7 linked regions of the Ovis aries genome follow. The protein of the gene in region 7 interacts with the protein of the main gene of each other region in a pairwise test. Links are inferred from orthologs where the notes say so. Each region holds a gene or a part of one and is shown on either strand. Other genes may lie near its edges.

Evidence for each region.
Region 1: the proteins of EFHC2 (region 7) and TSSK3 interact in binary tests that used the Homo sapiens proteins (3 or more experiments, as listed by UniProt). The two-hybrid records come from large-scale screens. The link is inferred for Ovis aries from reciprocal best matches to the Homo sapiens genes EFHC2 and TSSK3.
Region 2: the proteins of EFHC2 (region 7) and CCDC120 interact in binary tests that used the Homo sapiens proteins (3 or more experiments, as listed by UniProt). The link is inferred for Ovis aries from reciprocal best matches to the Homo sapiens genes EFHC2 and CCDC120.
Region 3: the proteins of EFHC2 (region 7) and LONRF1 interact in binary tests that used the Homo sapiens proteins (3 or more experiments, as listed by UniProt). The two-hybrid records come from large-scale screens. The link is inferred for Ovis aries from reciprocal best matches to the Homo sapiens genes EFHC2 and LONRF1.
Region 4: the proteins of EFHC2 (region 7) and COPE interact in binary tests that used the Homo sapiens proteins (3 or more experiments, as listed by UniProt). The two-hybrid records come from large-scale screens. The link is inferred for Ovis aries from reciprocal best matches to the Homo sapiens genes EFHC2 and COPE.
Region 5: the proteins of EFHC2 (region 7) and CACNB4 interact in binary tests that used the Homo sapiens proteins (3 or more experiments, as listed by UniProt). The two-hybrid records come from large-scale screens. The link is inferred for Ovis aries from reciprocal best matches to the Homo sapiens genes EFHC2 and CACNB4.
Region 6: the proteins of EFHC2 (region 7) and PLOD3 interact in binary tests that used the Homo sapiens proteins (3 or more experiments, as listed by UniProt). The link is inferred for Ovis aries from reciprocal best matches to the Homo sapiens genes EFHC2 and PLOD3.

The regions. Positions count from the first base shown.
Region 1 is NC_056055.1:235,203,693-235,208,603, forward strand, and holds TSSK3 (testis-specific serine/threonine-protein kinase 3), read right to left. Parts: upstream 3,132-4,911; 5' UTR 3,035-3,131; coding exon 2,890-3,034; intron 2,052-2,889; coding exon 1,387-2,051; 3' UTR 475-1,386; downstream 1-474. Other genes in the region: protein FAM229A, read left to right, coding at 3,606-3,742, 3,824-3,970, 4,145-4,247. UniProt on the Homo sapiens protein: Serine/threonine protein kinase required for spermatid development and male fertility.
Region 2 is NC_056080.1:56,040,607-56,043,712, reverse strand, and holds part of CCDC120 (coiled-coil domain-containing protein 120), read left to right. Parts: intron 1-273; coding exon 274-336; intron 337-614; coding exon 615-789; intron 790-925; coding exon 926-1,024; intron 1,025-2,209; coding exon 2,210-3,106. UniProt on the Homo sapiens protein: Centriolar protein required for centriole subdistal appendage assembly and microtubule anchoring in interphase cells. Together with CCDC68, cooperate with subdistal appendage components ODF2, NIN and CEP170 for hierarchical subdistal appendage assembly.
Region 3 is NC_056079.1:23,391,565-23,396,449, forward strand, and holds the start of LONRF1 (LON peptidase N-terminal domain and RING finger protein 1), read left to right. Parts: upstream 1-1,559; 5' UTR 1,560-1,612; coding exon 1,613-2,354; intron 2,355-4,885.
Region 4 is NC_056058.1:4,123,746-4,127,965, reverse strand, and holds part of COPE (coatomer subunit epsilon), read right to left. Parts: intron 4,058-4,220; coding exon 4,004-4,057; intron 3,548-4,003; coding exon 3,466-3,547; intron 2,440-3,465; coding exon 2,284-2,439; intron 1,106-2,283; coding exon 1,037-1,105; intron 1-1,036. UniProt on the Homo sapiens protein: The coatomer is a cytosolic protein complex that binds to dilysine motifs and reversibly associates with Golgi non-clathrin-coated vesicles, which further mediate biosynthetic protein transport from the ER, via the Golgi up to the trans Golgi network.
Region 5 is NC_056055.1:157,736,379-157,740,598, forward strand, and holds part of CACNB4 (voltage-dependent L-type calcium channel subunit beta-4), read left to right. Parts: intron 1-406; coding exon 407-558; intron 559-2,609; coding exon 2,610-2,705; intron 2,706-4,220. UniProt on the Homo sapiens protein: The beta subunit of voltage-dependent calcium channels contributes to the function of the calcium channel by increasing peak calcium current, shifting the voltage dependencies of activation and inactivation, modulating G protein inhibition and controlling the alpha-1 subunit membrane targeting.
Region 6 is NC_056077.1:35,922,199-35,925,639, forward strand, and holds the end of PLOD3 (multifunctional procollagen lysine hydroxylase and glycosyltransferase LH3), read left to right. Parts: intron 1-290; coding exon 291-395; intron 396-911; coding exon 912-1,058; intron 1,059-1,490; coding exon 1,491-1,616; intron 1,617-1,960; coding exon 1,961-2,116; 3' UTR 2,117-2,406; downstream 2,407-3,441. UniProt on the Homo sapiens protein: Multifunctional enzyme that catalyzes a series of essential post-translational modifications on Lys residues in procollagen. Plays a redundant role in catalyzing the formation of hydroxylysine residues in -Xaa-Lys-Gly- sequences in collagens.
Region 7 is NC_056080.1:43,390,264-43,394,483, reverse strand, and holds part of EFHC2 (EF-hand domain-containing family member C2), read left to right. Parts: intron 1-1,236; coding exon 1,237-1,379; intron 1,380-3,845; coding exon 3,846-4,042; intron 4,043-4,220. UniProt on the Homo sapiens protein: Microtubule inner protein (MIP) part of the dynein-decorated doublet microtubules (DMTs) in cilia axoneme, which is required for motile cilia beating.

The sequences.
Region 1 (4,911 bases), on a different chromosome or scaffold from region 7:
AAGGGAGGGGGCCACTTCAGGCCCTTCCATGTGTTGTCTGGCGGGGTACCTTGTCCAGCCAGCCACCCACTTTGACTCCCCCGTAGCTTAGGACACAAGCCAGCTACCAGCGGTACAGAGCAGTGATCAAAGCCGAGTACTTACAACTCCGGTAAGCCCAACTTCTCCGCCTCAACCCTTCTGCCTCTTGGAGGGATACGCTGGGGGTGAGCTGCTTGAGATTCTCGACAGGCTTCTGTAAAAGCTCTTCCTCCTGAAGGCAGATCCAGTCTTGGTGGCTCTCACCCTCCACGCTGGTAAAGCTGCACCTCTCTCGGGGGGACGAGGGGCTACAGGAATCCCTGGAGACCCTGGTGCTTCACGATGCTGCTCCGGTGATTCTTGTACATAATCTGGTGTGTTCACCAATGATTTAAAGGGATCGTGGTCAGGGACGCCAAGAGAGTGGTGGTCACTTCCACTTCAAACCTTCAATGAGGGGGTGGGATGGAGAGAATGCTGAATCTTTTTTTTTTTTTTTTTTCATGGGATAGGATTTTTCTCTTTGTAATTATTTCTTTAGTTTAATTAACCTTTTGGTTGTTTGTGCAATATTATATATTTTAAATTATAATGTATCTCCCCAGAGTATTTTGTAGCTGGGATAAGAAAAAAGGAAAAAAAAAAAAAAAAGACTCTAACAGCTGTTAGTTTTGTAATTAAAAAAGAAAGAAAAAAGAACTTTGTCCTGAACCTTTTCCAGACTTGCCGTTAACAGCTATTAAAGAGATTCAACAGAAGCTGGAAGGTGTCTGGAGCTCTGTTCTTGTCCCTTACAGCAGCTGCCCCAGAGCCAGGGCAAGACAGGGTGTGCAGGGTGCCCTCCTGCTTGGAGCCTGGGGGAGGGGTCAGGATGGGAGGTAGTAGCCTGCGTTCCAAGGAGGTCCCTTGTCTTCATCCCAGACTCACCTTGGCCTTTGGGGTGAGGAAGGGACAGGGCCCCCAGAAGGCCTCTCACCAAGACAAGGAGTCAAGAGGCCGTTTCTGCATTCCCAACGCTTCTGCTTTTATTTGGAAAGGAAGGTGCAACAACAGTGGTTCCAACTGTTCTTGGTTATTTTTCTCTCCTCCCCCTGTATGTGTATGATTCTGGGGTCTATTTTTAAGTAACTTTAGTTAAACACCTGTATGAAAATCACTTGTCAGCCATAATAAAAGGGAAGTCTGAATGAGGCCCTCTGGTTCCATGAAGATCTTTAAAGGGAAAGAGAAGTAAAGCTGGGGAGGGTGTAGGTAAGTTTAGGATAAGTAGACTTAAAGTGTAAAATATAGATATCACCATCTTAGAAGCGGGTTTTTGGGTTTGCTTTCTCCCCCTACTTTATTGGGGAGGACTTGCCATTGCTTTTATGAAGTGCTTGCTAGCCATGGATGCCAACTAACTTCTTCAATTGAAGGCCGGAGAGTCATGTCTGGTTCCAGGAGCCGCTTGAGCAAGTCCTGGCATTCAGCCGAGATGCCCAGATGAGTGGGGAAGGACACCCCCTTCTGCTGCTGCCACAGCATCTTGGGGATGTCTGTGTCGTCAAAAGGCAGGCTGGCACAGAGCATGACGTGCAGGACCACGCCCATGCTCCAGATGTCACCCTTCGTGCTGTCATGCGGGATACCCTGCAGCACTTCGGGGGCGGCATAGGCGGTGCTGCCGCAGAAGGTCTGGCTCAACTCCCGGCGCGATTTGGGCAACACCTTGGCAAAGCCAAAGTCTGTCAGCTTCAGGCTGAAGCCCTGCAACAAGGCGTTCTCACACTTGAGGTCCCGGTGGGCCACACCACAGCCGTGGCAGTAGCGGATGGCCTCGACCATCTGACGGAAGAGGGCCTTGGCCCGGCTCTCAGGCAGTGGCCCCCCATTCAGCACACAGTCAAAGACATCCCCTCCTTCAGCCAGCTCCATCACCAGGTAGATTTTCCCGTCGGCAGACTCCAGCATCTCATACACTTGGATGATGTTCTTGTGGTCCAGGGTACGGACAATCTGGAGCTCCCGAGGCAGGAATCTCTGGATAAACTCTAAGGAAACAAAAGAGATGGAGAGTCAAGTCCAGAAGAGCCTAACTCCTCCCTCTGTCTCTCTGTCTTCCAACTTCTGTCTGCCCACCATGTCTGGGTTGTGGGCCTTGGTTCCCTTTAACAGCCTTCAGTGTCAAACCGCCTGGACACTGCAGAGCGTTCACTTCTGTCTTTGTAGTTAATATATTATTCAAAGGAACTAGTCCGTCAGCCTCAGGGACTGTTGTGAGCAGCCTGTGAGACCATGGATAGCAAAGTCCTGTGGGAACTTTTAGACAAATCTATTGAACTCAGTTATGAGGCCTGATCTGCCCACAGCGTGGTAAGCTAGCCCCTCTCACCTGTGCCCCCTGAGCTGCCGTTCTTTCCATGAGCCCTGTCTTTTCCCCATCTCTCTCCCTTGCATCGGTTCCTGCCCTCTGCTAGCCCTGGCCATGGCCTGACCAATCAGTTGACCTCCTAGAATAAGAAAGGCGTAGTAGGCTCTGACTCTGCTTCTGAGGGTCCTTCACTGCCTGCCATGGCAATCCACTCCAGTACTATTGCCTGGAAAATCCCATGGACAGAGGAGCCTGGCAGGCTACAGGCCAAGGGGTCTCAAAGAGTCGAACACGACTGAGCGACTTCACTCACTGCCTGCCACATTCATTTTGGACTTTCAGAAGGTGTGATTTTCCTAGACTTTCTCTGTTCCCCACTGACTGACCCCAGAGCCACAGCCTCTCTTGCTTTCTTTAGTTTAAGACTAAAGGGGAGGAGGGAATTGATCCTTCTGACTGGAGGAAGCACCCACCCACCTCAGCCAGCCCTCCCTTCCTCCAAAGGGGCCCCAGCTCACCTTCTGGCCCTCCCATCTTGTCTATAATTTTAATTGCCACTTTTCTTTGGTGTTTTTTGGAAACTGCTTCTTTGACTTTTGAGTAGGTCCCTTCCCCAATGGTCTTGCCCAGCTGGTACCCATTGGAGAGCAGAAAGTCCTCCATGCTGTCTAGCACCTCCTTCCTTCCTATCACCCTCTCAGCTCATGCTGCCTCTGCGAGGCAGCGCTACTCCACCATCGCCCTCGGCCCGCTTCTTTTCCCCCCAAGGACTTCATCCGCAGCCGCCCCCAGCGCTACAACATTCTCCGTCCGGACACAGGAGCCGCGGATGGTGGGGAGGGAGAGGGTCAGACATTTTAAAACTCTGGCCCAATTGTGATGTAAATGCTGTGTGACCCTGGGCCAAAATGGGCAATGCCCCTATCTGCCCTCACCACCACCACCACTACCACCGCAAAACCCAGCATGGGTTAAGTCACCTCCGTGCCCCGCCCCCGCGCCAGGCAGTGGGTCGTAGCCCCGCCTGTAGGGGTTGCTGCGATGTCTGCGCTCGGCCCGGGATGCCAGGCTCTGTTCCGTGGACGCCCCCATCGGGCAGCAGGGGGTCTGCGCGACCCATGGCCAGAGCCCTCCAGCTCCCGGCTCGCCACCGCGCTAAGTGCCCGGGCGGCGCGGGGTTCCCCGGCTGGAGGAACGGGTTCTGTGAGGTCAGCGCGCCGCGGCCCGGGTCACAATGCAGCCCGTCCCCTCGACGCCTGGGCCGGGACGCGCCGCAGACACCTGCCCGGCTCCGCCTGGACCGGAGCGTCCTCCCGCGGCCAGGGCTCGGGCAGCTGCTTCCAGCCTGGGACCGGCCTCGGCCTCCGGCAGGTGAGCAACGGCCCGGGGGGCGGGCGCGGGGAGGGGGCTCCCGGCCGCCCGGGAGCGGCCTGACCGCCACTCCCCGCGCAGAGCGCCCCGGGGCCTGGACATGAGTGCCCAGGAGCCCCCGCAGGGTCGGAGATTCCCCATTGAGGCCGGAGACTCCCCTGGCCTTGCCGCCGCCCCCGAGTCCCAGGACAGCCCGGAGCCGGTAGCTACGGAGCACAACCCGGTCAGGTGAGGCCAGCGCCCCTGCCCGCGGCCCCGCCCCTGCCCGCGGCCCCACCCCTGCCGGCTTTCCGTCCCCAGACCAACCCGCACCCGCGGCCGAACCCCTGGGACTGATGCGCCCCCTACAGGATGGGGCCGGCCGCCCCCTCAACGCCCCCCGTCGCGCCCCGCTTTCCGCAGGCCGCTTCGACGCTGCCCCGGCTGCCACTGCCTGACGCTGCTGCACGTGCCCATCGACGTCTACCTGGCCATGGGCGGGAGCCCCCGGGCCCGCGCCACCTGAGCGCGCCTGCGCAAGGCGGCTCCGCGGGAGCCGGGCGGGGACGGGGCCCGCCGCGGGCCACCACGCTGAGGTCGCGCGCGCGCCGAGCACGAGACAATGATGCACATTTTAAAATAAAAGAATGATGCACATTTTAATAAATCACAGCATAAACTGTTCTTTCCACTCCGGCTGGCCGTGTCTGTCTTATCCCGTCGGCTCGGGCCCGCCGGCTGCTCCGCCCCATCCAATATCACCTTTCCCTCCGCTGCTTCCTCCCTTGGGCCCAGCCCCAGGGGCCCGCCCTTCCCTCCGGGTCGGCTTGCTTCTGGCTGGGCACCAAACCCTCCCCTCTTTTTTTTGTTACTGGTCACGACCCCCTCCAGGGCCGTGCTTCTGCTTGGGCACTGCCCTCATCCTTCTCCCTGACACTCCCCTTGGTCTCTCCAGGAAAATCAGCATTACTGTGCTGGACTCTGGGGGCCCAGAAAAGCTTGAGACTGGAGGAGATGGACAGACAACTCAGAATAAAGAGAATGGCCACCTACCCCGGGCCCATTTAATTCTCCAAAGATGGGGTTTGGTTTTTGCTGACTTCTGTTTTGTGACCCTGGGCCTTTCTGGCTTTGTTGGAGGGATTAGGAGCTGCCCCCACCATCTCCACCCCTGGTTTCTCCTAAGGACT
Region 2 (3,106 bases), about 13 Mb from region 7:
TCCCTGGCGGTCCAGTGGTCAAGGCTCTGCACTTCCACTGCAGGGGGCACAGGTTTGATCTCTGACATAAAAACTAAGATCCCTCATGCCACTCAGTGCAGCCCAACAACAACAACAAAAAAAGTGAGGGACTCAGCCCCTGATGGTCTTGGATTTAGGTAAAGGTGGATTCTTGGGAAGTGTGCCAGGTGGGGAGGAGACGGTCCAGTGGTGTAAGGGGGTGGCACCCAGGCCTTGCATTGATAAGCGTGGGTCTCTGCTTTTCACCTGTAGAGGATGTGGTTCTGCACTCAGAGAGCAGCTCCCTCTCAGAGTCTGGGGCCAGCCACGATAATGGTGAGAACCCTTGTCCCCTAAATTCTCCCGTGCTCTGCATCGCCCCTGCCCTCCCTCTTCAGCCACACCCCATCCTCTGGTGGAGCTCCCACCTTCTTCACTTCACCACCCTCTCCCCTGTCTCTCCCATCAGCCCCAGTTCCTGCCTGCCTCCCTTGGTTCCTCCTCTACCTGTCCTACCCTGCTTAGCCCTCTGCACCTCCCTAGCCCCTGCCCTTGGCTTTGTCCACAACCCTCCCATTGAATCCCCCCTTCACCATTTTCTCCCTTCTGCTCAGAGGAGCCCCGTGGCTGCTTCCCTCTGGCTGAGCGCCCCTCACCGCCCAAGGCCTGGGACCAGCTGCGGGCAGTCTCTGGGGGCAGCCCTGAGCGGCGAACCCCATGGAAACCACCCCCATCAGATCTTTATGGGGATCTGAAGGGCCGGCGAAACTCTGTGGCCAGCCCCACCAGGTGAGGGTGAGCCCCTCCACTCCTTCCGCACAGCCAGGAGTGGGGGCTGAGCCTGGGTGGGCAGGAGGACCTGCTGGGAGGTACGGTCTCTAACCTGGCCCCCGCCCCCACCCTGGGCCCGCATGTCTCTGTCTAGCCCTACACGCTCACTGCCCAGGAGTGCCTCCAGTTTTGAGGGGCGAAGTGTGCCTGCTACTCCCGTCCTCACCCGGGGCGCTGGCCCCCAGCTCTGCAAGTAAGTGGACTCTAAGGGTGAGTTTGAGGACCAGAGGAGGGAACTGGTAGTTCTAACAGGGGGTACTGGGGAGAGTATTTGGATTCCAAGAGTGTAGGACATGAAAGACTGAGCTTTGAATCCATCAGTTTTATTCTGATTTTCTGTGTAAGTTGTATGAAGAAGCAAGAATTTTATTTATGCTTTAGAACTTTTGTTCATAATGCATCCTATTACATGATAAAGAAATATAGGTAAAATATATTTTGAAATATGCCATACATAATGTATGTGTAATATCACATTATAAATAAATTTTTTAATTGACCAAAAAAAGAAAAGAAAGGCTGAGCCTTGAAAGTTGAATAGGAGTTGTCTTGGTGCTATATGAGCACCCCCAGCCAACCCCCGCCTTGGAGAAAGAGGGTGGGGATTTGGGGCAGAAGCATTGAAGTTTGAGTATGGGCTTTTCTGTGCATTTTGGGCAAGTCATTTCCCTTCTCTGAATCTTGGTCTCCTCATTTGTAAAACAGGCATATCAATATCTGTCTCTGGAAGAGGCTGTAGGCATAAATGAGTTCTGGTTAACATGTGCTGCATACCTACCATCTGCTAGGAATCAGTACTTGGTATCAAACTCATTTAGTTATCACAACATCCCTATGAGGTAGATGCCGTTATTCTCATTTTAGAGATAAGAAACCCGAGACACAGGTTAACTAACTTGTTGGTAAACCAAAGACCTGGTATTTGAACCCAGACAAATTTGACTCAAGAGTCCATGCTTTTAACCATGGTAGTCTCCTAGTCCTTAAACAAATACGTACTTACCAAGTGCCTACTTTTTCCAGGCTGTGAACAAAAGTCCCCATCCTTGTGACGCTTGCATTCTATGAATAGTGACCTCCCCTGCTAGCATTTCCTCTGGAGTCCCTTGCTTCCATCTCCCTCGGAGCTTAACAGCCCCAGGCACCCCATACATTTTCAACCCCTCTGCTCCCCAGTCCTGGCTAGGGCCTCTGCTGCTCTTAATGTGCCACTCCCTAACGCCTTTACACCCCATTTCTAGTCCGGGGCCCATTTTGGAGTGTGAAAATGAAGGCCCAGAGAGAGGCGTGTGTTGGGGGAGGGGTTGCGGAGCGAGCTTATCCCATCTGCCTGATATTTCTGACCCTTCTCCCATCACCCCCACCTCTGTGCCCCTAGACCCGAAGGCCTCCATTCTCGCCAGTGGTCCAGCAGCCAGGACTCCCAGATGGGCTTCCCGCGGGTGGACCCTGTCTCCGACCGCACCTCCCTCTTCGCAGCTCGCACCCGCCGCAGCAATAGCTCCGAGGCCCTGTTGGTGGACCGGGCAGCGGGTGGGGGAGCTGGGTCCCCGCCCGCACCTCTGGTTCCCCCTGCCACCGGTCCCCCAGTCTGCAAGAGCAGTGAGGTGCTATATGAGCGCCCCCAGCCAACCCCTGCCTTTTCCTCCCGCACGGCTGGCCTCCCAGACCCTCCCCGGGCTGCCCGGCCCAGCTCAGCCGCGCCGGCCTCCCGCGGGCCCCCCCGGCTCCCACCCGTGTGTGGGGACTTCCTCTTGGACTATTCCCTGGACCGGGGCCTGCCCCGTGGGGGCAGCGGGACAGGCTGGGGGGAGCTGTTGCCGGCAGCTGAGGTTCCAGGACCCCTCTCCCGCCGCGATGGGCTCGTCGCCATGCTCCCAGGCCCACCGCCTGTGTATGCAGCTGATGGCAGCAGCCCCCTCCTCCGCAGCAAGGACCCCCATAGCCGTGCCCCCCGCACCAAGCCCTGTGGTCTGCCCCTGGAGGCCGCTGAGGGCCTGGAGGCGCATCCCAACCCTCTACTGTGGATGCCCCCACCCGCCCGTATCCCCTCGGCCGGTGAGCGCAGCGGCCACAAGAACCTTGCCCTGGAGGGGCTGCGGGACTGGTACATCCGGAACTCGGGACTGGCCTCGGGGCCCCAGCGCCGGCCTGGGCTCCCTCACATGGGCCCGCAGCACCCGCCCTTCCTTCATGCCCGCTGCTATGAGGTGGGCCAGGCACTGTACGGGGCCCCCAGCCAGGCGCCGCTCCCACACTCGAGGAGTTTCACGGC
Region 3 (4,885 bases), on a different chromosome or scaffold from region 7:
GCCCACCCAGGGATCCAACCCAGGTCTCCCACATTGTAGGTGGATTCTTTACTGCCTGGGCCACCAGGGAAGCCCCTAACAATTTAGTACCCTACAATCAAATCTATCAATACTTTCAACAGAGAGCTTTAAACTGGTTGCCACCAAGTTTCAAGGAAAGATAACCCATTATACAAAAACCAGATCATTTTCCTTCTCCTGTGGGCAAAACTGCAGACCTTGCTTGGGTTGCAGTGATATGGTAACTGCCTCGTGAAAAACATCCATCCTGGCGTTTTCTCTTTAAAAAATGCCAAATGTAGGCCTTAGCCAGTTGTGCAGTAGTAAATAAACTGTGGAGAGGAACCTGTGGGCTTCCTCCCTCGAGATGGGGGACTGAGTTTTAAACTAGAAAAGCAGCAGTAATTTGGCACCAAGCAAAATTGTCTTACACTCTTCAGGGAGTCATGTCAGGTAGGTAGTGTGTGCGTAGAATGTTAGTTGCTCAGTGTCTGACTTTGCGACCCCATGGGCTATAGCCAATCAGGCTCCTTTGTCCATGGAATTCTCCAGGCAAGAATACTGGAGTGGGTTGCCATGCCCTTCTCCAGGGGAGCTCTTCCCGACTCAGGGATGGAACCCAGGTCTACCGCATTGCAGGCAGATTTCTTTACCATCTGAGCCACATTTCGTTCCTAAAGTTGACCTGCTCTAGACTTAGGGAGTCACAAAGTCGTCCCACTGACTGTGCGCTTCCCTGAGACCTCGGCCTCTACGTGTCCATCTGTAAGTTGGGCATGAAAGTAAAGTCGCTCAGTCGTGTCCGACTCTTTGCGACCCCGTGGACTGTAGCCCACCAGGCTGCTCTGTCCATGGGATTCTGCAGGCAAGAATATTGGAGTGGGTTGCCATTTCCTTCTCCAGGGGATCTTCCCGACCCAGGGATCGAAACCCAGGTCTCCTGCATTGCAGGCGGACGCTTTAACCTCTGAGCCACCAGGGAAGTTGGGCATAAACCAGTAAAAATGCAGATGAGCACCGGACCGGTGGTAAACTACACTGGGAAGATCCCAGGGGACAGGAACGGGGGGGCGGGTCCCAACTTAGGTGGGTGTTTATGTCAGGAGAGGGATGGTGATTTGGGCCTCAGCCCAGCGAGGCCGGCTGCCGGGCGGAGAAGTGCCAGCGAAGAAGGGGTTAGGGGAGAATCTATGACTAGGGGTGGGGGTGAGGGCCCCGCGGAGCAATCAGGTGGGGGATGGAGCCTCGGGCTCCTCCGTGCTTTGTTCAGTTACAAGCCAGGCCCCTCTTTCCGGAGAAGCCAATTAGATCCCCGCCGGGGGATCATCTGACCTCGCGCCTCCCGCCGGGAGGGGCTTCGACAGGGGCGGGGCCGGCGGTCGCCTCCTCCGGGACCCGGCCGCGGGCCGTGCGGGGGAGTCCCGGGCGCCGCCGCGCAGCCCGTCCCCGCCCCGCGCCCGCCGCGCCCCGCCCTCGGGGCTTCCCGGGCGCGCGCCGCCCCGCCGTGTCCGCGCGCCACGCCCCCCTGCTCGCGGGCCGCGTGCGGAGCCGCGCGCCCCGGAGGCTCGGGGACCGTGGCGGCGGGCGGCGGCAGAGCAGCCGTCCGCGGGCCATGTCTTCCCCGGCCGTAGCGAGGAGCTCCCCGGGAGGGAGCCAGGAGGTGGACTCGCGGCCGCAGAGGCAGGGCCGGTTTTGGGAAGTGGGCGGCGGCGGCGGCGGCGACCGGCTGGAGCGCGCCGCCGCGGAGTCGGAGCGCTGGGAGCTGCTGCTCCGCCGGGGCGAGCTGCTGGCGCTGGGCGGCCACCTGAAGGGCGCGCTGGAGGCGTACGCGGCGGCGCTGCGCCGCGGGGCCCCGGTCAGGCCCGAGTGCCTCGGCACCCTGGTTGACTGCCTGGTGTTCAACTACCGGCTCCGCCACGGTTTGGGCTGGAGCGCGAGTCCGGCGGGGGGCGCCCACCGCGGCGTTAGCGCCGGCGGGCTGCTTAGCTGCCTGGGCTGCCGGGGCTTCCTCAGCGAGCCGGTGACCGTGCCCTGTGGCCACAGCTACTGCCGCCGCTGCCTGCGGAGAGAGCTCCGCGCGCGCTGCCGCCTCTGCCGGGACCGGCTGCCGCCCGCCGCGGCTGCCGATGCCCCGGGGACCTCCCCGCGGCCGCCTCCGGCCGCCGCCGCCACCGCCACCGCCACCGCCACCGCCTCCTCCGGCTTCAGGACCAGCGTCGTTCTCAACCACCTGGCCGAAAAGTGGTTCCCGGGCCAGCGGGAGCGAGCCCGGGCGGCCGGCCGGCTCGGGGAGCTGCTGCACCAGGGGCGCTACCGGGAGGCCCTGGCCGCCGCCTGCGAGGAGCTGCGAGCAGGTGAGCGCGCGGGCCCCGCGACCGCACCCTTCCTTCCCAACGCGCGGGGCGGCCCCAAGCTCGTCTGCGCCCCAGGCCAGCTGCCTCCCAGGGCTTGCGTCTTGGGGTCCCGGGTTGTGTGTGTTTTGGGGGGTGTGTGTGGGAAGGGGCGGCGCCCCGAGGTGCTTCGGTCACAATGGGGATCGCCCTCGAGCCGACTGTGACGCGGCGCGGGGTTTCCTACGCCTCGGCCTGGCGCTGTGGCGGGCGCGCCCCGAGTGGAGCGGCGCGGAGCGGGTGGCCGGGCGAGGCCGCGCGAGCGCGGGATGGGGAGGGTGTTGGGCGAGCCTGAGCGTCGGCTCGCTTCCTGCCGCGCTCTTTCCGGTAATTGGCCGCCCGGGCCGGGTCCGCCGCGGGGAGACTCCTTGCCGGGGCGGGGAAGTGGATCCCCAGCCGAGGATGGGCGTGCAACGTATATACCTTGGTCTCCCGCAAAAGTCACCGGGGCAATTGGAAGCCGCGGGAGGCAGAATTGCATAAGCCGGGGTGGGTGGGGGTGGTGGAGGGCGTTGTGTAACGGGTGACGTCGGGTGGGCGTGGCGGGAGCTGGGCGCCCGCACCCCGCACCCGGAGGCCCGGTCGGAGCTGCCCAGGGTTGTCCCAGTCTTGAATGAGAACGCCCAGAGACTTGCTGCCTCTTGATGGTGTCCACCTGTCTGTTTCACAGCGTGCTTATTTCAGAAACGCTTGTGCTTCCTTTCGAATGCACGTAGCTCACGGTGAAGATAATAGAGGTAGTCTCTGATGGAGTTCGTGGCCACGCTTGTGTTTGCCTTTCCACACTCTTGATCAAGCTCTGGCGGCGAAGGGCCTCTGAAGATCTTTGGTCTGTTCTTTCGCCGCCAAGAAGCAGTTTCAGCCTGCTAACCTAGGCTAGCCACTCTTCTTAAGGTGGTTTGGGGCTGTGGAAAGAGACCTTGGCGGAGGTAGTTAGCTGTGTAAAATGAAGCGTTGTAAAATTGGTGGTTTTCTACCATGGGTATTCCCTCCACCCCCACTCTTGGGACGTTATCAGGGGCAGTATCTAGAGACGTTTTTGGTGGCCACCCCTTGTGCGAGTGGAGTGGTGCTGGTACAAAGAGTGGGCAGAGGCCACGGAGGCTCTTTCCGTATCCAGTGATGCGCGGGACGGTTTCCCACACAATGATCAAGGCCTGAAGTGTCAGTTTTGTCCTTGTTAACCCTTGTGTGAAGTAAGCATATTTCAAGGTGGAATAGAATAATACTTGGAGAATTAACCACCAAGGAAGTAGAATTAATCACCAAGAAGATAAACTGATGTGAGGTTTGAGGTGCATTTATAAACTGTAACTGAAAGCATCTTGGGAGCTTTTTTTTTTAACCCTAAGCGCTCAGTCATTTTGAAGTAGTCATCATGTTAAGTCGTTGAATACCTTTAGAATTCAAACCGCAAACTTGGCATGCTTTCATATACTTTCAGTATCTTTACGGGCAGTAGCAGTTATAGAAGTAGCATGATAGACCCAGAACAAAACAGAACTATTTGGAAGACAAAATTCCTCAGCAGCTCATTCTCTCTGGGTGAATCGAGTTTGGATGGTCAACGAAGGACAGACCATCTAGGACACGTTCCTCAAAATGAGGAAGCAGAAGCTGGGGCAGTGACCCGACTGGTCCACAGTCACACATCCAGCTGATGTGTGGAGGCAACAGTGTGTCCTGAATTTCTCCTAAATGTTGGATCAGGATTCATCCTACCGTTAGGGCTCATCCGATGAAAATGTGTAGCATCAATTCCCAAGGAAGTTTTTTGCCACTAGTGTGAAATAAAGGAGAAACTTACTGACAGCCCTATTCATTATTAACTCCTACTGATTTAAATGGTTTGACCTCTTAAATTAGGCTTTTTGAAAAAACTCAGGTCCTAATCCACAGAAGAACAGGGAGTATTTACTAATTAAGATCTAGCTTTGCGTTCTATGACCGATAATGTTTTTAATTAAAGAAGATTTGGGCCTGGGATTGAGGATATTATTTTTTAACAGGAAAAGATTGAAATATCTACTCTTTCTCCTTTTTTTTCAATTTGCATAGACTACATGTGGGAATTTTGTCCATTCAGCTGCTTCATTCTACTTTTGCAGGACTAGAACCCAAGACTCCTTTGACTTCGTCCATCTTCTCCTCAGTTTTAGGTCTTTGAAAAATCTGTAATTCCATACTCCGAAATGTGTCTGATTGGTACTAATGAGGATAACTTTTTTCATCCTTTGAATCTTTAGTACAAAGTAGGAAGAAAAAAATCTTAGAGCTAACAAATTATAGTTGATGGAGCGCAGATATTATGTGTTTAACAGTTTATGAGGGTAAATAAAAAGGTTTAGTAGAGTTATAAATCTACTTGTGCAGTTAAGGTTTAACTTTTTGAGAGCTAGTTAGCTAGAAAGGCATTTGAAATGTGTTTGTATAATGGGACAGCTGTACCCCAGGTACCTTCATTATTGCTAACAGTGGAAAAAGACTATAATTTC
Region 4 (4,220 bases), on a different chromosome or scaffold from region 7:
CACCCAGCCAGACCCAAGCAAGAGCCCCAATTTCCCCAAAGGTTTTCCATCACCCAACACCCCGGAATCATGCTGAATTAGAGGGGACCCTGGAGGGTGGGGCCAGGAGCCTGTACTTGCACGTGATTGAAGGGATGCCCCAGGCTCAGGGATGTGGGCTGGGTGGGGACCCAGGCCCAGGGAGAGGCAGGGGGCCAGGCAGAGTAGACGGCAGGTCGGGGGATGGGGGTGGGAAACGAGATGGGTTTGTTCTGGGCGCACTGTGTGGAGACACCTCAGAGGCCTGGGGATGGCAACTGGGGCCAAGACAGAGCCTCGCACCCAGCCTGGCCCTACCCCCGGGCCCAGCCCTGACATACAGGGCTGTGGGCGTCTGTGCAGCTCTGCTTCTTCCAAACTGGTAGTCTGGGGGTGTCTCTGTGCTGAGTGGGGGCGCTGTCCTATCTGTCCCACACCACCCCAGCCCTGAGGCTGCCAGTGGGCCCTTCCATAGGCACTGGGGACAGACCCCCATGAAGCTCTGGGGTGGCGGGCCCCTGGCCGCCTGGGCCTGGCACCTAACGGGCAGTGCCCCACATCCTTCCCCTGCACTCTCAGACGAGACAGGCTCACCGGGATGGCTCCCCTGGGCCCCACTTCTCTGTCCTGTTGCCTGCTCCTGACTGTGAGGTGACACAGGCTGGCTCCCACCCTGCGAGCCCTGAGCCTCAGCCCCCATGTCCAGAGGACTCTCAGAGCTCCGGGCAGGGTGGGGGCCCTGGGGGAGTGACTGTACCACCAACTCCCCCGGGTCAACCACAGCCGCATCCACTCATGGGGAGCAGGTTCCTGCCCCAACCCCAGGCTAGCCTTGAAGTTCAGACTCCGTGACCTCAAGCTCCCTGTGGAGCTGGGGCCTTGCTAGAGACCCCTGCCCACACCAGGCTGGCATTGCGAGGACCAGAAAACCCTGCTGCACCTGCTTGGGGTGGGGAGGGGCCTAGCTCAAGAGGCTTGCCCAGGTGCTGCACCTGGCTGGGGGCGGGGAGGGGCCTACCTCAGGAGGCTTGCCCAGGTGTTGGGACAGGACGACGAGGTTGATCAGCGTCTCAGGGTGGCTGCTGTCCTGGCAACAAAGGAGACGGGCAGGGTCAGCTTCTCCAGGCCATTGGATTGGCCCACTCACCCCCAACTCAGACAGGGCTGGGGCTACGAGATGCAGTGTGCCCCGTGACTGGATGCTTGGCCAGGTGGTGAGCTTGGAGCCTTCCCTTCTGCTTCCCCACACCAGCTGCTTTCCCCAGGGGCTTGGTGCTTCCTGAACCAAGGCCTGAACACGGAGACTCCGCTTGCTGCAGTTTCCAAGGGGCCTATTTATCACAAATCTTAAGGTGACAGAGTCTAGGCCAAGGGAGCCTCAACGTATCGCAGCCCAGCGAGCTGGTCCTCCCGCTGCAGCCGTGAGGCCTGAGACCGTGGGGTAGGGCCCGCCCACTCCCCAGGGGACCTGACAGGAAACTGCAGGAAATTACCAGAACCTCCAAGCAGCTGACCTCCCCTCACCCGCCCACACTGGGCGCTGAAGCCCGGGGAATCCTGGGAACGGGCTTGGCTGCTGCCTTGGCCGGGAACCCCAGCCCGAAGGCCCTGATGGGGGGGGCGAGGCAGGGACATGCTGCCCGGGATGTCGCAAGCGCAAGGGGCCGTGGGGACCCTGCCCGCTGGCTGGCACAGGGCACAGCTCCACACGCGCAGCCTGATGACCCCACCACCGCCCTGTGGCCTGTCTCTGCATGGCCAATGGCCTGCCGTGACAGCCTGGCCCCTCACAGAGGGGAAGAGGGAGGGGCTGCCCACTGGCATCAGTTTCTCATTGTATCAAACCCGCCTCAGCTTTCGGTCAGAAGGCAGGCCACTAAGGCGGCCCCCAGCCCCCGCGGGCGGCACGCTCGGGGCCTCCGCTCAGCGAGCACGGGCACAGGCGACACTGTGTGTGTGCTGTGCTCGCTCCTCAGCAGCCAACGGTGGGGGTCTCTCTCAAGCACAGATCCAGGCCAGGGGTCATCACCCTGAAAGGGCCCAGGCCAGGCAGCGGCGGCATCAGTGAGAAGACGAGGCATGTGTCTGCTTAGCTCAGGCCTGGGCTGACGGGATCCTCCCATTTTCAAGAGAAGTCAGAATGAGGACTGCGGTTCACAATCCCGACTTTTAGCTGAGTCAGCCTGAGAATCCCCACCTGGCCAGCAGGCCGGTGTGGGGCCCCTGCCGCACCTGTTTCTGGGGTGGGGCTGGGCCTGCCCCTACCTTGTCCAGCGCCTCCTGCAGCACGCCCTCAGCGGCCTCCCAGCGGCCCTGCGCCATGTGGCAGGCTGCCTGCCCGTTGAGCAGCAGCAGGGTCGGCGAACACTTGTCAGCCATCTCCTGGAAGATGTAGTAGGCGTCCTGGAGCTTCTCACCTCCCTGCCGGGACAGTTGGGACATCACCGCCTTGTCACCCTGCTGCCCTGCCCCAGCCTGCTCCCTCCTGGATGGATCTCAGGGCAGGCACCCTGGGGACGCCGCCCCCTTCCACACAGAGGCCCTTGAGCAGCCTGTGCTGTGAAGGGGCCGAGGCAGTGTCCAGACCCCTCAAACTCGGCTCCCTCAAGCCCTCAGTTTATGGTCTTGAAAGGCTCAGCTTTGAGGAAGAGGAATCAATGCACTGGCAGCTGGGCCAAGGTCTGGGCTGGGACACACGGCCCACCAGCCTCTGTTCCATGGTCGGTCCTGAGCCCGCCCGCCCACATTCTGAATAGCAGGTTCTGTCTGCCTGGGAGAAACACAGTGTCACACTGGCAGGGGAGCCTGACACGGAGATGCACTTGTGAACAATTGCAAGGCTACAGACAGGACTGTTGGGGTGTGTCCCCTGCACTGAATGGATCCTACAGGGTGAGGCCTCAGCCGTGCAAAACGACGTGCAGATGCACGCAGACAAGGAGCACGTTTTAAAAAGCTTGGACAAGAGCGTGAACTCAGAGAAAGGAAGTTAAAAGCCCAAGACAGAAATGGGGCTGCTGCCAGGAGAGGGGAGCCCAGGCATGTGGGGGTAGCGGGGCTAGGCTCGAGGAGGGAGTACGCGAGGGAGGACTCAGGCCCCAGCTTTGTGCCAGGAGCCTGGAGAGCAAGCTGAGCAGCAGCCGAGCCTGGGGCCAGGCCCCAGAGGAGTCTGTGCTGCCAGGCTGGCTCCCCGCACTCGGGTGGGAGTGGGAGAGCGTGCAGGAACAGGCACGCTGAGTCTAGTTCCGAGCCTCCCAGTCGGTTCACCCTGGCTCTGGCCAAGCTACTGGGCTATAGGAAGCCAGAAGGGGTCAAGGCTGAGTGATGGGGAAAATGTCCTGGGCTCTTCCGGGAGACTGGCCCCCAAGAAAGCACGAGGCCCGGGGTGTCCGTGAAGCCCAGCTGCTCCTGCCCCCGTGCTCCCACCCAGGCTGGGCAGGGGCTCACCGCAGCCAGGCTGGCCCAGGCGGTGGCCAGCTGGGTGAGCGTAGCGTCCTCGTCCTGGTCCTGCATCTTCTTCAGCTCCTTCCTGGGGGCGGAGGAGAGGTGCCCAGTGGCTGCGGGGCCCGGCCGCTGTCCCCCACCCCTGCCCGAGCTCCTTGCTCACAAGGCCTTGGCAGCCCCTGTGGCCGCACACGCCTGAAGCCCACCCCCACCCTGCAGGCCGGGCCCCGCTGCCAGCCTCACGGAAGGAAGCTGAGGCACCGGCAGCAACGCCCCTCGCCCCAGGCAGCACCGTGCAGGGCCGGGCAGGCAACCAGTGGTGCCGCCACCCCCGTGGACCAGAACGCACTACATGGAGAAACACTCGCGTTGCTGATGATCTGAGCCAGGGGGCGTGCTCGGGGGGGTCCCCACTGAAGACAGAGGCCCGGTTTCTGGAGAATTCAGGGTCCCAGCACAGCCCGGCCTTTGCTAAGATAGCACCCCCCCCGCCCCCCCGGGCACAGGCCGTCGCCCAGCAGCCCTGGCGGGGCGGGCTTACCGGGCGAGGTCCAGGCGGTCAAGCTTCAGCAGGATCTGCACTGTCATCGCCATGCTGCGGGAAAGGCGTGTGGCCTGTGAACCCTCGCCCCACTGTACCCTCCCACTGGGAGCTCACTCTGTAAGCACCACCTTCCCGAAACTTCCTGTTAGCACTCGGGCCACCAGTCCCACTTTGCAGAGGGGAAAACTGAGGCTGACCATCAGCCCGGTAGAAT
Region 5 (4,220 bases), on a different chromosome or scaffold from region 7:
GTAGACATATTTCAGTGCAGTTTGTTTTCCATGTGATGTTGCTCTGCACCTGTATTTTGGTGGCTTCCTAAAATGTGGTTTCAGCTTCTAGAGCTAAAAGTAAAGTTCTTTAGAACAAAATCACAATCAAAACAACATAGCTATGTCAATAGCTAAATATTAGAGTGAGTGTAAGAAGCAAATCCAGTGCACCATCTCAGTTTTTTCCACCAACTGTTTAGTTTTGGGTAAAATTCAAAACCCATCTCTCTTTGGAAAAGATCTTAAGTTAGACAGAACTATGAAAATTCAAAATATTCTGTTTTGCAATGTAGGCTAACATATCTGAAACAGGTACTATTTTTTAAATATAGGAACTAATTAATAAAAAATACCGTGACCTGTTATTTGTTATTTCTCCTTTTAGCGGAAGTGCAAAGTGAAATTGAAAGAATCTTTGAGTTGGCAAGATCTTTGCAACTGGTTGTTCTTGATGCAGACACCATCAATCACCCAGCACAACTTATAAAGACCTCCTTAGCACCAATTATTGTTCATGTAAAAGTCTCATCTCCAAAGGTAATTAGCTCATTTCTGTCTTAAGATTTAGAAGGTCAGTTTCTTTTGAAACACTCTTCGCTCTGTGCATTTTTGTTTGTGGCAAGGAAAATGTCTTTTTAAGACCCTTTTAATGAATACTGTTTTTGATTCACCTGGTCTGTACAGGTTCTTGAAGTTTTGAGATAGCAAATAAAGAATAATTTATTCCTTCAAGAAACTCACTGTCTGTGTGGTTCCCAAACCAGGCAGTTATGCAAGAATATAATAAAAAGCAAAAAAAAAAAAAAATCAAAAAACAGGAAAGATGACAAAAAGTTAAGTCTGGCTTTTCAGAGATTTTAGGTGCTATCTTGGTAAATCTCTTAGGTAAAATTGATTCTTATATCACCTATATTATCTCCTCAGCTGAGAGAGAAAATAGTTCAAGAAGTACACATATATTTACCATAAATCTAAAGCCAAACATCACTGTATAACATCTCTGGTGGAAACTTTATAGATCTGTGCATTTATGCTTAGGTTGGGTTCTTCAGGGCTTCCCTGATAGCTCAGCTGGTAAAGAATCCACCTGCAATGCAGGAGACCCCGGTTTGGTTGTCGGGAAGATCTGCTGGAGAAGGGATAGGCTACCCACTCCAGTGTTCTTGGGCTTCCTCTGTGGCTCAGGTGGTAAAGAGTCTGCCTACAATGCAGGAGACCTGGGTTTGATCCCTGAGTTGGGAAGATCCCCTGGAGAAGGGAAACGTTAGCCTGGAGAAGGGAAAGGCTAGCCACTCCAGTATTCTGGCCTGGAGAATCCTTCAAGGAAAATCATTATTCTGTGATGAAGCACAATGGAGTATCTGCCATGTATCTTTATGCCAATAGGGGAGATAAAAATAAAAGTGAGACAGCCTCAAATCGGTCCCTTTTTTCCCTTACAAACTTTTATATACCCATTTATTTATTTATTTTTAAATTGGTCCATTTTGACTTGGATTTTTTAAATTTTAAAAACTTGATGTTCTAAAAAGTGAATATGAATTGGATACCCTTGGGAGGTACTACCTTAACAATCAGTTTCTTTCCAGTGGCTCCAAGAGTTCATTTTCTTACTTAAATGCGTATTCGACTTCGAACCAGACCAGTAGTCTCCTCTCCCAGGGAAAGCATGTGCCCTTCCCAACCCTTCTGACTTCCATCTCTCCAGGCACTGGTTCTGTGCAGGGTGAGCCTGGAGTCCCGACCAAGCCAGGACCTTTGGGCAATCATTAGAATGGAGTGAAATGACTTTGACCACTTAGAGTTGCTGATCCAGAACTGAAGGGGATTCAAACACCCTTTACTGCAGCGGAATAGAGTTCAACCTTCTGGCCCCAATTGCCAGGGAGTCCACTAGTGCAGGAACTGGTCCCCTCGTGGATATATGTGCTGTGGTATCATAGAGCCTCATAGATTAGTACTGTTTCTGAGGAAGCATCCTATTTCTGCTAAAAAATAATTAAGGGAAAGAGGAGTAGATAGAAAAATGCAATTACAGCAGTGTCCCAAAAGACATAGGTATATCACTGGTTTATATGTAGCAATATACCAGTGCAAATGTTTTGCCTAGATTTCGAAGATGAAATTGTCCTGTTAATGTCAGATTAGACTGGATGCCTTAATAATTATCAATGACATAAAGAGAGTCAAATATATAAGTGACTCTGATATTGATCAGACATCAAGATAGTGAACCAAAATGCTACTCAACTGAATTTGGACATAAATGATCTGGTACAGATCAGTGCCTCCATTTTTGCAGGGCTCATTTTGAAATCTCTGGATAAAATCTAGGAAGGGTACTTAGGAACCCACCAAGACCTCACATGTAGCAAGAATAGGATGGACATATCAAATCCACTATAACTGAAAGCCAATGTAATTGAATGATGTCATTACAGAGTTTACATGTATACAAAACTTGTCATTTTGTGTTTCCTCCCTATTAAATACTCAGGGTTAAACAGACTCTGAAAAAGATGTCTTGATTTACTTGGTTTTCTTTCAACTTACTGATAGTATCTCAGATTCATGTCTTCTTCTATCAGGTTTTACAGCGGTTGATTAAATCTAGAGGAAAGTCTCAAAGTAAACACTTAAATGTTCAACTGGTAGCAGCTGATAAACTTGCACAGTGCCCCCCTGTAAGTACAATCATCTTTTTTGGTCTTAATCATTCTTGACTAGTTAGAAGAGGCTGGTGGGTTTTTATCATATTGGCATTGTCATTTTTATTCTAGAATGGTCATGATAATGGTATGTTGTCATAAACCTAAAGGATTTCTTGGAACAAACTGTTGTCACTTTGGCTACCCAGACATGCAAAGCTCGGTTATGTCTGCCACGTAATAAGAAATGAACTTAAGTGTCTGGGGTCCAATGTCCTTACTGCCACCTTGATTGCCTTGCAGACACTCAGCAAACTACTTAATGCAGTCATGTGGATGCTTTTATGAAAAGAAAACAACAAATAAAACACACCGATTTGACTTTAACTTTTCTGCTAGAAAGTTCTGATAGGCATAAAAGATTATGACACCGAAAACTGAGAATTTATTAGAACTAGAAGAGCCCTGTGGTTACTGCAGATGAAAAGGTCAAGGCTAAGTAAGGTGAAAAACTGTATTATAACAATTTTTCTTCTAATGCCACTGCCAGAGAACAGCTGCTGAGTTCAAAGCCGAGCAAACAGTGAGGAAGTGGGAGGTTGGGGGATGGTAACTGTGCCATGTGGGTCACCAGTGTCTACACCTGCTCAGCTGACTTACTATTTCTGTGCCTATGTTTCTCTAAAGGAAATAAGTGTTTGTCTACTGATTTAATTCACTAGGTTTTGTTATATACTTATGTAAGGATTGTTCATGATCTGTGGAGTCATAAAATCTAATTCAGATGTTTAGAGAAGCAACAGTGTAGCTGTTAAAAATATAGACTCTGAAGCTGACTGCCTGGGTTCAAATCTACCCAAGTCTATCACATCCCTAGTTATCTCATCTTGAGCAGATATCTGGTTGGATTGATATAAAGGCTCAGTGAGTGAATGTATAGTAAAGCTCTTAGAACAGTACCTTGCACGTAATAAGCAGCATCTAAATGTTTCTGTTATAATTTCTGGATGTACTTTGTACTGTGATGTGCCGACCTGTCAGACTCTGTGAGGATCTGTGCCTGTCAGTTTCACTGTTATGTCTCAAGTTCCTATCATAGTAGACCCACAATAAATATTGAATGAATGAAATGATGTAGAGGCAATAAGACTACAGGGTAAGAATCAGGATATACAGGCAGCACATTGGACGCTTACAATGGGCCAGACACTGTGCTAGATGCCTTACCTAGATTATCTCTAACCCTCACAATTAGTAAATTAAGCAGTATCATCCCCATCATATAGTTGAGTCAACTGAAGACAGACAGGTTAAGTGATTTCCCTAAGGTACACAGCAAATTAAGGTTAGATTTAGATCTTCCTGGCACCCAAGCCAGTTTCCTTCCGTCACAATCCAACCCACCTGTTCACACACCCAAACATGGTTACCTGCCTGCAGATGATTTTGATAGGTCAGAGTCTGGAATGCTATATAAAGAAGTCCAACTTCACATTGCTGACTACTGAAGTTCTCTCACACATGGAATCCATGCTTAAAGTACTGAGCAGA
Region 6 (3,441 bases), on a different chromosome or scaffold from region 7:
TTTTTTAAAACGAGGTTGAAAACCACTGTCCCAGAACCCAGGGCTCCAGCAACCGTGCTGTCTGTGCCGAGTTCTGAGCACTGCTCTCACCTTCTCTGGCCGCATCGGTCCCCTTCCTGACTCCCCCGACCAGCCCATCCCCACGCTCAGCTGCCCGTCCCTCCACGTTCTCTCCTGTCCTGGCTTACCTTTCTGCTCCCTGCTTTCTGTCTCCTCCCACTGGCTGCCTGTCCCCTTCTGGAGCATCACCCAGCCCTGTTTTCTTCTTCCCCTGCCCCGTCCTGACTCAGCCCTGCCCAGACGTGTACTGGTTTCCTCTCCTGTCTGAGCAAATGTGCGATGAGCTGGTGGAGGAAATGGAACACTACGGCCAGTGGTCAGGAGGCCGGCATGAGGTGAGGGGCCTGGACCGCGGAGGAGGGGGCCCCCAGGAGGAGGGAGGGGGCATTTCCCTGATTGAGGGAAAATGGAATCTGGAGAGTGGGAACAGAGAGGGGGTCCCCGAGCAGGAAAAGGCAGACAGGGGGCACCTCTGTATTCTTTCATTCCACCGTGCATTCAAGAAATACTCCCTGGGCAGGTCCTTAGACACCAGCCCCTGACCTGGACGTGCAGGTGGAGCTCTGCCCTCCACAGCCCCACCTGCCGTCAGTAGCAGCAGGGAGCTAGCTTCTGAAGTCTGTGATGGACAGCCTCAGTGCTGCGGGAGTCACAGGTGGGAAACTTGACCCAGATGCGGGGGGACCGAGGGCTTCACAGAAGAGGTGACATCTTCGCTGAGACTTAGAGGAAGGAGGTGTGAGTCAGCTAAGACGTGGCGGAGACTTCCAGAAGGAGGGAGCGCAGACTTCCAAGGCCTGGGAGCAAGAGGAGGAGAAGTTGGCACCACTGCGTCAGCTCTGTACCCACAGGACTCTAGGCTGGCGGGAGGCTACGAGAACGTGCCCACTGTGGACATCCACATGAAACAGGTGGGCTACGAGGACCAGTGGCTACAGCTCCTGAGGACGTATGTGGGACCCATGACCGAGAGCCTGTTCCCCGGCTACCACACCAAGGTGGGCCACTGCACGCCACCCCTGCTCCCTCCTCCGCCTTCCCACACCTGTGCTGGCTGGACGGCTCCACACAATGCCTTTTGGCCTGTGAAACATTTAAATAGGCCCCATAGAGTGAGATCCGGGCTCCCCTGGTGGCTCAGATGGTAAAGAAGCCGCTTGTGATGCAGGAGACCTGGGTGGATCCCTGGGTCGGGTGGATCCCTGGGTCGGGAAGATCCCCTGGAGGCGAGCACGGCAGCCCACTCCAGTGTTCTTGTCTGGAGAATCCCATGGACAGAGGAGCCTGGCAGGCTGCAGTCCATGGGGTCGCAAAGAGTCAAACACACAGAGTGAGACCTTGCAGGAGGGAAGCTCTGGGGGAGCAGCCCCCAGGGAGCAGTGAGAACCCTCCCGGCCATCCCCCCAGCCTCTCCTCCCCTGTGCCCGCAGACCCGGGCGGTGATGAACTTCGTGGTCCGCTACCGACCGGATGAGCAGCCCTCTCTGCGGCCGCATCACGACTCATCCACCTTCACCCTCAATGTCGCCCTCAACCACAAGGGCCTGGATTATGAGGTGAGTCCCTACCCTCCACTCAGGGTTCCCCCGGGCCCCTCCACACACACAGACACACACGCACTCCCCTCCCCCAGGCCCTGTGTCCAGCCCCCTCACAGGCACGGTCACCTCCCTGCCCCTTGTCTGCCCTCGTCACATCTCCCAGTGACCTCTGGGGTCATATTCTGGACCCCTTCTGGGCTGGCTACCCCCTGTGTCCTGTGTCCCCCATCTGCCGATGCTCACCCCTCTTGTCCCCTCCCTCCCTGATGCCCAGTTTGGCCTCTCTCGCCTCGGGGCAGCTCACCACCCAGTCCCCACGTCTGCGCACTCTCCAGCCCCTTCCCCTCTCGTCTCTCCAGGGAGGTGGATGCCGCTTCCTGCGCTACGACTGTGTGATCTCGTCCCCCAGGAAGGGCTGGGGGCTCCTGCACCCGGGCCGTCTCACCCACTACCATGAGGGGCTGCCCACCACTCGGGGCACCCGCTACATCATGGTGTCCTTTGTCGACCCCTGACACTCAGCCACTCTGCCCAGCCTTCCGTGCCATCGTGCCTTCCCGCGCCCTGCCTCCTGGGGCGGGGTGGGTGTGGACTCCTCGCCTCCTGGGTATATGGGGTCTGTGTGCCTGGGACTGAATGTGTCGCCTCGCTGCCCACCACACGGCCCTCAGGAAGCTCAGGGAGCCCCCTGTCCTGTTCCCCGGTCCCCAAGGGCTCATGGGGACAGGACCTCTGGGGGTTCGCTACATGATAAATTATTGTTTCTCAGTCTCCCTCTCAATAAAGGAGGGTTTGTAATTCTTGAGCCCATTTATTGTTTCATTACCTGTGGACCCCTTGTCCATCCCACCACCCAGGGCAGAGGGGACACCGAGGGTGACCCCAAAGGAGAACTGAAAAGGAGAAATGACAGAAACGTGATATTAGAGCAGAGTGGGAATCTAGAAGCTTCCTTGTCATTCCAGAGCTCGGGAGGGGTGTGTTGGAGGCCAGACCCAGAGAAGGACTTCCCCTGTCAGGATGAGATGAGAGGCCCCCACTCCCGCACAGCCCCCAAACTGTCGTCCCCTATTCTCTCCTCACCTGATGGCATCTTCTCCCATGCAGAAAGGATGAGAGAGGCACAGCCCTGAGCTAGGGTCCAGGGATAGTGCTGGGACACGCATTGTAGGAGGGAAGACAGGGTGGAAACTTATTGAGAGCGCTTGGACCTCAGCTTTTAGTCACATGGTATCAGGAGAGGGGAATCTGGAGGGTGAACCCAAGAAAGCTTCCTGGAAGAAGGGGAAGGGAAGCAGCCTTGAAAAAAAAAAAAAGACCTCCTAGAGCTGGTTTTGCCTCTAGTCTCAAGCATCAAAAGCTTGCAGAGACCCCTGGAGGTACCCTGAGGACAGCAGAGCAGGCCCCTTTAGCCTGGTCCTCCCCAGCCTTACACCAGCTGCCTTCCTGTGTTGATCTCCCAATGTTCCCTGGCGGACGCCTTTTAAAAATCAAGCACCTGTCCTAGGACATTTCCAGCTTCTAACAGTCCACTTGCATCCACAGCTAAATTGTCCTTCCTTCCTCCTACCCAGATTCCCAGGAAAACTTCATGCATGAAACCATCCTTCCATCCTTCCTGGACCCCTGGGTGGGTCACCTTCCCACGTGGACTGAGCGTCTCTCTGGCTAGACTCTAAAGTTCATCTCACCCAGGCCCCCACCACCCTCATCACTTGCCCTGTGATGCGAGTGGGCTGAGCAGGGATAGGAGGAAATATCCCTCTTAACAGAAGGTCCCTGGTCAGTGAAGCTGCATAGGTGTGAGGCCAAGGACAGGGGCAGAAAGGGTGTGTCAGCC
Region 7 (4,220 bases):
CTTATAACAACTTTCTACAAACATACATTAAGTACTTAGAATTCAAAAAAAAATGTTGTATTAGACAACGATTAATAAGATGCAGTCCTTGCCCTCAGAAAAGAGACTTGTAACAGCAACTTATGATATGGGTGATAAGTGTTATGAAAGGTCTGTCATATTTAATATAGCATTTAAAAGGGAAAAGGGAAATTTTCCCTTGAAGGGAGTTAGGGGGCTGCTGGGGAACTGGGAGAGTGACTTGGCAAGGAGACGATGTGAGGTTGGAGGAAAAATAAGGAATGGGCTTGAGAAAGTGGGCAGTGAAGTGGGGAGGTTGCTTCAGGCACTGGCAAAGCACAAACTCTTGCCTCCTGGCGCAGCAAGGCCCAGGCGCAGTGCTTCTAGCTGACATGGTTGCTGTGATTATTGTCCAACTTGTGAGCAGAGAACAGCCATTTAATGCAGATGGTTTGAGCAATGTGTTTATGACATTTGTTTTGGGTACGTTTTCCCAATGTGTTACCCTGGACGTTTTCCCCTGTGTTAACCTGGACAAATGGGTGTGTGTGTGTGTGTGTGTGTGTGTGTGTGTGTGAACCCAGACTATTAATGGCCCAGAAAGCCAGACTGAACAGTCTAGGTGGTATGATCACAAGCAGGGAAAATGCTAAATGTTTTCTGAGTGCTGGGTCTATTGTGATAAAAAGAGTGTTTAGAACTCTTTGAAAGAGAACTTTGAAAGAATAAGAGATATTTTAATAAACTGGGAATATGTCTCTGCATATAGATTTAGAGCCCTAATAAGAAAATGGTTGAACTTTTTTTTCCAACCTCTGAGAGTTTATGCCCCTGTCTTAAAACCATAGTGCACTTGGATGGGAGGTGGGTAAAAGGGGTCAAGAGTATACACTTTCAGTTATAAAATAAATAAGTCACAGGAATGTGATATATAGCATGGTGACTGTAGTTAATAATACTATAGTACATATTTCAAAGTTGTTGAGAGAATAGATCTTAAAAGCTATCATCACAAGAAAAAAATTTTTGTAGCTAAGTGTGGTGATGAGTGTAAACCAGACTTAACTGTGTTGGTCATCTTGCAATATATACAAATATCAGATCGTTGTGTCATACACCTGAAACTAATATTATATATCAATAAAAATGGCATATATTTTGCAGGATTTTTTACATATGTAATATGCAAAAGATTACTTATATAATGCTATAACCTTCAATTTTTCTTCCATTTAGCTATGGCAACATAAGCAATATACTCCGATTTTTTGCAAAACTAATCACACACAAATGTGCTGATGCGGAAAGGATGTTTGTTATTTCATATTTTCTCCGTGATGACACAATTTCAGTGTTTGAACCCGTAGAGAGGAATTCAGGTAAGAGACATACTACCCATAGCAATTTCCTCAGAACAGTGAACTGTCTCTTCATGTTGAAAGTTATATAATATAATCTCATTTTTGTAGCCTATGATCTAAAAGAGTGGCTTTCTTTCTTTTTCTTTAACCACTAAAAGTTCATTTTACAAAGACCTCTTAAATGGGAACCCAGACATATAAAATGGTAAAAGAGGAGTAGTTTTGGTTGGCTGAGGACTGGGGGATTCAGGACACCTCCTTTTTGACACTGTCCCCACTTCCTCTGTGGTCTCTGAGGCACCTCTGTGGAATCCAGTGGCTTCAAAATCATGGTCTGGCTGCCACAAATTCTGTGTACAGCTAGCAAGACAAGAATAAAATCTGTATTTGTGATAATATCACTTACAAAATAAGACAAGAATCCCCGATTAACAAATTTAATCTTCAGAGTCTATTTCCCTCTGGCTGTTGAGGCTGGTGCCAAGGTTCCAGCACCAAGGCCCATGGGATGGCCTTGCTGCAGTGCACTGATAGGGTGGCCATTGCTGAGGAAAGCTATTGATTTTGACTTAGCAAATTATGGAACTGTAGGGCTCTATCCTTTGTCTCAACATGTTTAAAATTTTTATCAATGCTGAAGATACACTTTTGGGAAGAATAGTCAGTGGTGTACTGGTTAACCGGCTCTCTGAAAAAAATTTAAAAGCTCTATTTTGTACCGTTTGTCAATTTCCATGATGTAAATACCCAAACCATGGCTAATTTCAAGCAACCAACAGTCTAACAACTGGCTTTCCAAATCTCTGAACATTAAACTATCAGCCCTTATGAGCTGGTAGGAGCCGCTCAGTACACAATGAATCACGAATAATTTGTATAAGTAAGTCAGGCTCCACTTATACAGATATGAATAATGGACCTTAAAATATGAAGTCAAATAGGGATGCCTATAAAGTCATGCTCCTGAAAGTCAAAAAATCACCTCTGTACATCTAGAGTAGGGATGATATGGCTAAACAAATTGCAGCATTCATAAAACAGGGTGATAGCAGTCAACTAGAAGCTTGCTGGTAATAACAACAGCCCTGGCTGAGTACCTCCTGTTATCCTTATAAGACTTTTATGAGGTTAAGTCTTGTGTTAATCTAGGTCCTTAAGAGGCAAAGCCCAGGATGAGGTACAAGAGATTTATTAGGGAGATGGCGGGTGAGGGAAGACATGGCAGGAGCCAGAAGAGGCCAGGAGCACTGTCAGACTGCAGTGTGTGTGTGACTCCTGTGAAGGACAGAGGAAAGAGGAAAAGGGAAGGTCTTAGACCACAGTGAAAGTCTTAAAATTTTGGCAAGGCTGACTGGGCGTTCTGGAGCCAGAGTCACCAGTGCGAGGAGCTCCCATCTTGCCTGCCTTAGTCTGCCTACCTTGCTCAGTCATGCGTTGGCAGCAGCCTGTGGGAAGCATGACCTTGGCACAAATCTGAGGATAGATTGCAGAACATAGCAGTTGGAGCCTTCTGTCAACTATGTTCCCCACAGCCAGCAATCTGAGAAGTACATTTTCATAGCCCCCCACAAATATTATTCCCATTTACCAGCAAGAATTTGGAGGGGCTCAGAGAGATTAAATGACTCCTAAAGATCATCCAGCAAGCAAGCGACAGAACCAGGATGGACTCCAGCTCTCTTTGGCTACAAAGCCTATGTCTTTCCACCACCTCTGGTTTCTGAATGTGGTAAAAGCGTCAGGAAGCTGCTCCCCAGAGCTCACCTGGTCCCAGGATATATCCACAGGGTTGGAGATTTCAGTTTGGTATCAGTTAGAAGATAGTGGAGTCCCACATTCAGCTCTGGTCACTGCTTGCCAAAACCCAAACAATGCCAAGAAAAGGGCAGAGGAAATGATGAGAATTCTGAGAAGTAAAAAAAAAAAAAAAAAAAAAAAGAATGGAGCATTATTTAAATATTTTGCCTGTAGAAACAAAGAGTTAAAGGAACTCCTATAGTTATCTTCAATTAAGTAACACCTTTCCAGAAATGGGGCATCTTTACGTTTCATCTGTATGTCAGAAGATGTGTATAAGACATCATCTGGGACAAATAGGTGGAAATAAACTCAGGTGAGAAATTTTTTACCTGATACAGTTCAGGCAGGCTGAGAAGATGTTCCTGTTGTCTCAGTTTCCAGGATGCTTCTGGACATAGACCAAGTCCTCGCTAAATGTTTAAGTGTTTGGATTGGGAAGGGAGAAGATGGAGAAAGAAAAGGCTGGAATGCCATGCCACTTTTCTTCCTTACACACTCACCTAGAAGTCTCATTTCTCATCCACTGCCTCATTCTTCTTCCCTTAAAGACTGACTATACATAGTATGAGTTCACAAGTTCACAGCTGTGGTCTGTGTCTGAGCATGAAGTATCTCTAAAGGCAAGTTGTCTGGTTCTTTGAGAAACAAAACCTACTCATTAACTTCTTTTCTCCTTTTCTACAGGGTATACTGGAGGGATGTTCTTAAAAAGAGTTCGTGTTAAGAAGCCTGGACAAGAAGTCTTTAAAAGTGAATTCTCAGAATATATCAAGGCTGAGGAGCTGTATGTTGGAGCCAAAGTGGACGTGAATGGCTACCTCTTTCTTTTGGTCAATGCTGATGAGTATACCTTGAACTACATGGAGAGGCATTCAGATAAGGTGAACTCACTTGGTATAATTCTTGCCTTCGCCTCTCAGCACTCTGCAGTCTGTGTTTTCCTTACTCCAGGCCTTTTCTTCTTTGCCTTGCAACCAATTTTACATTGTGTATTCACACATGTGGGCATGAATAATGGATCTGCATGATTTGGCCGCAGGTCCCATCACAGAGGCCAGG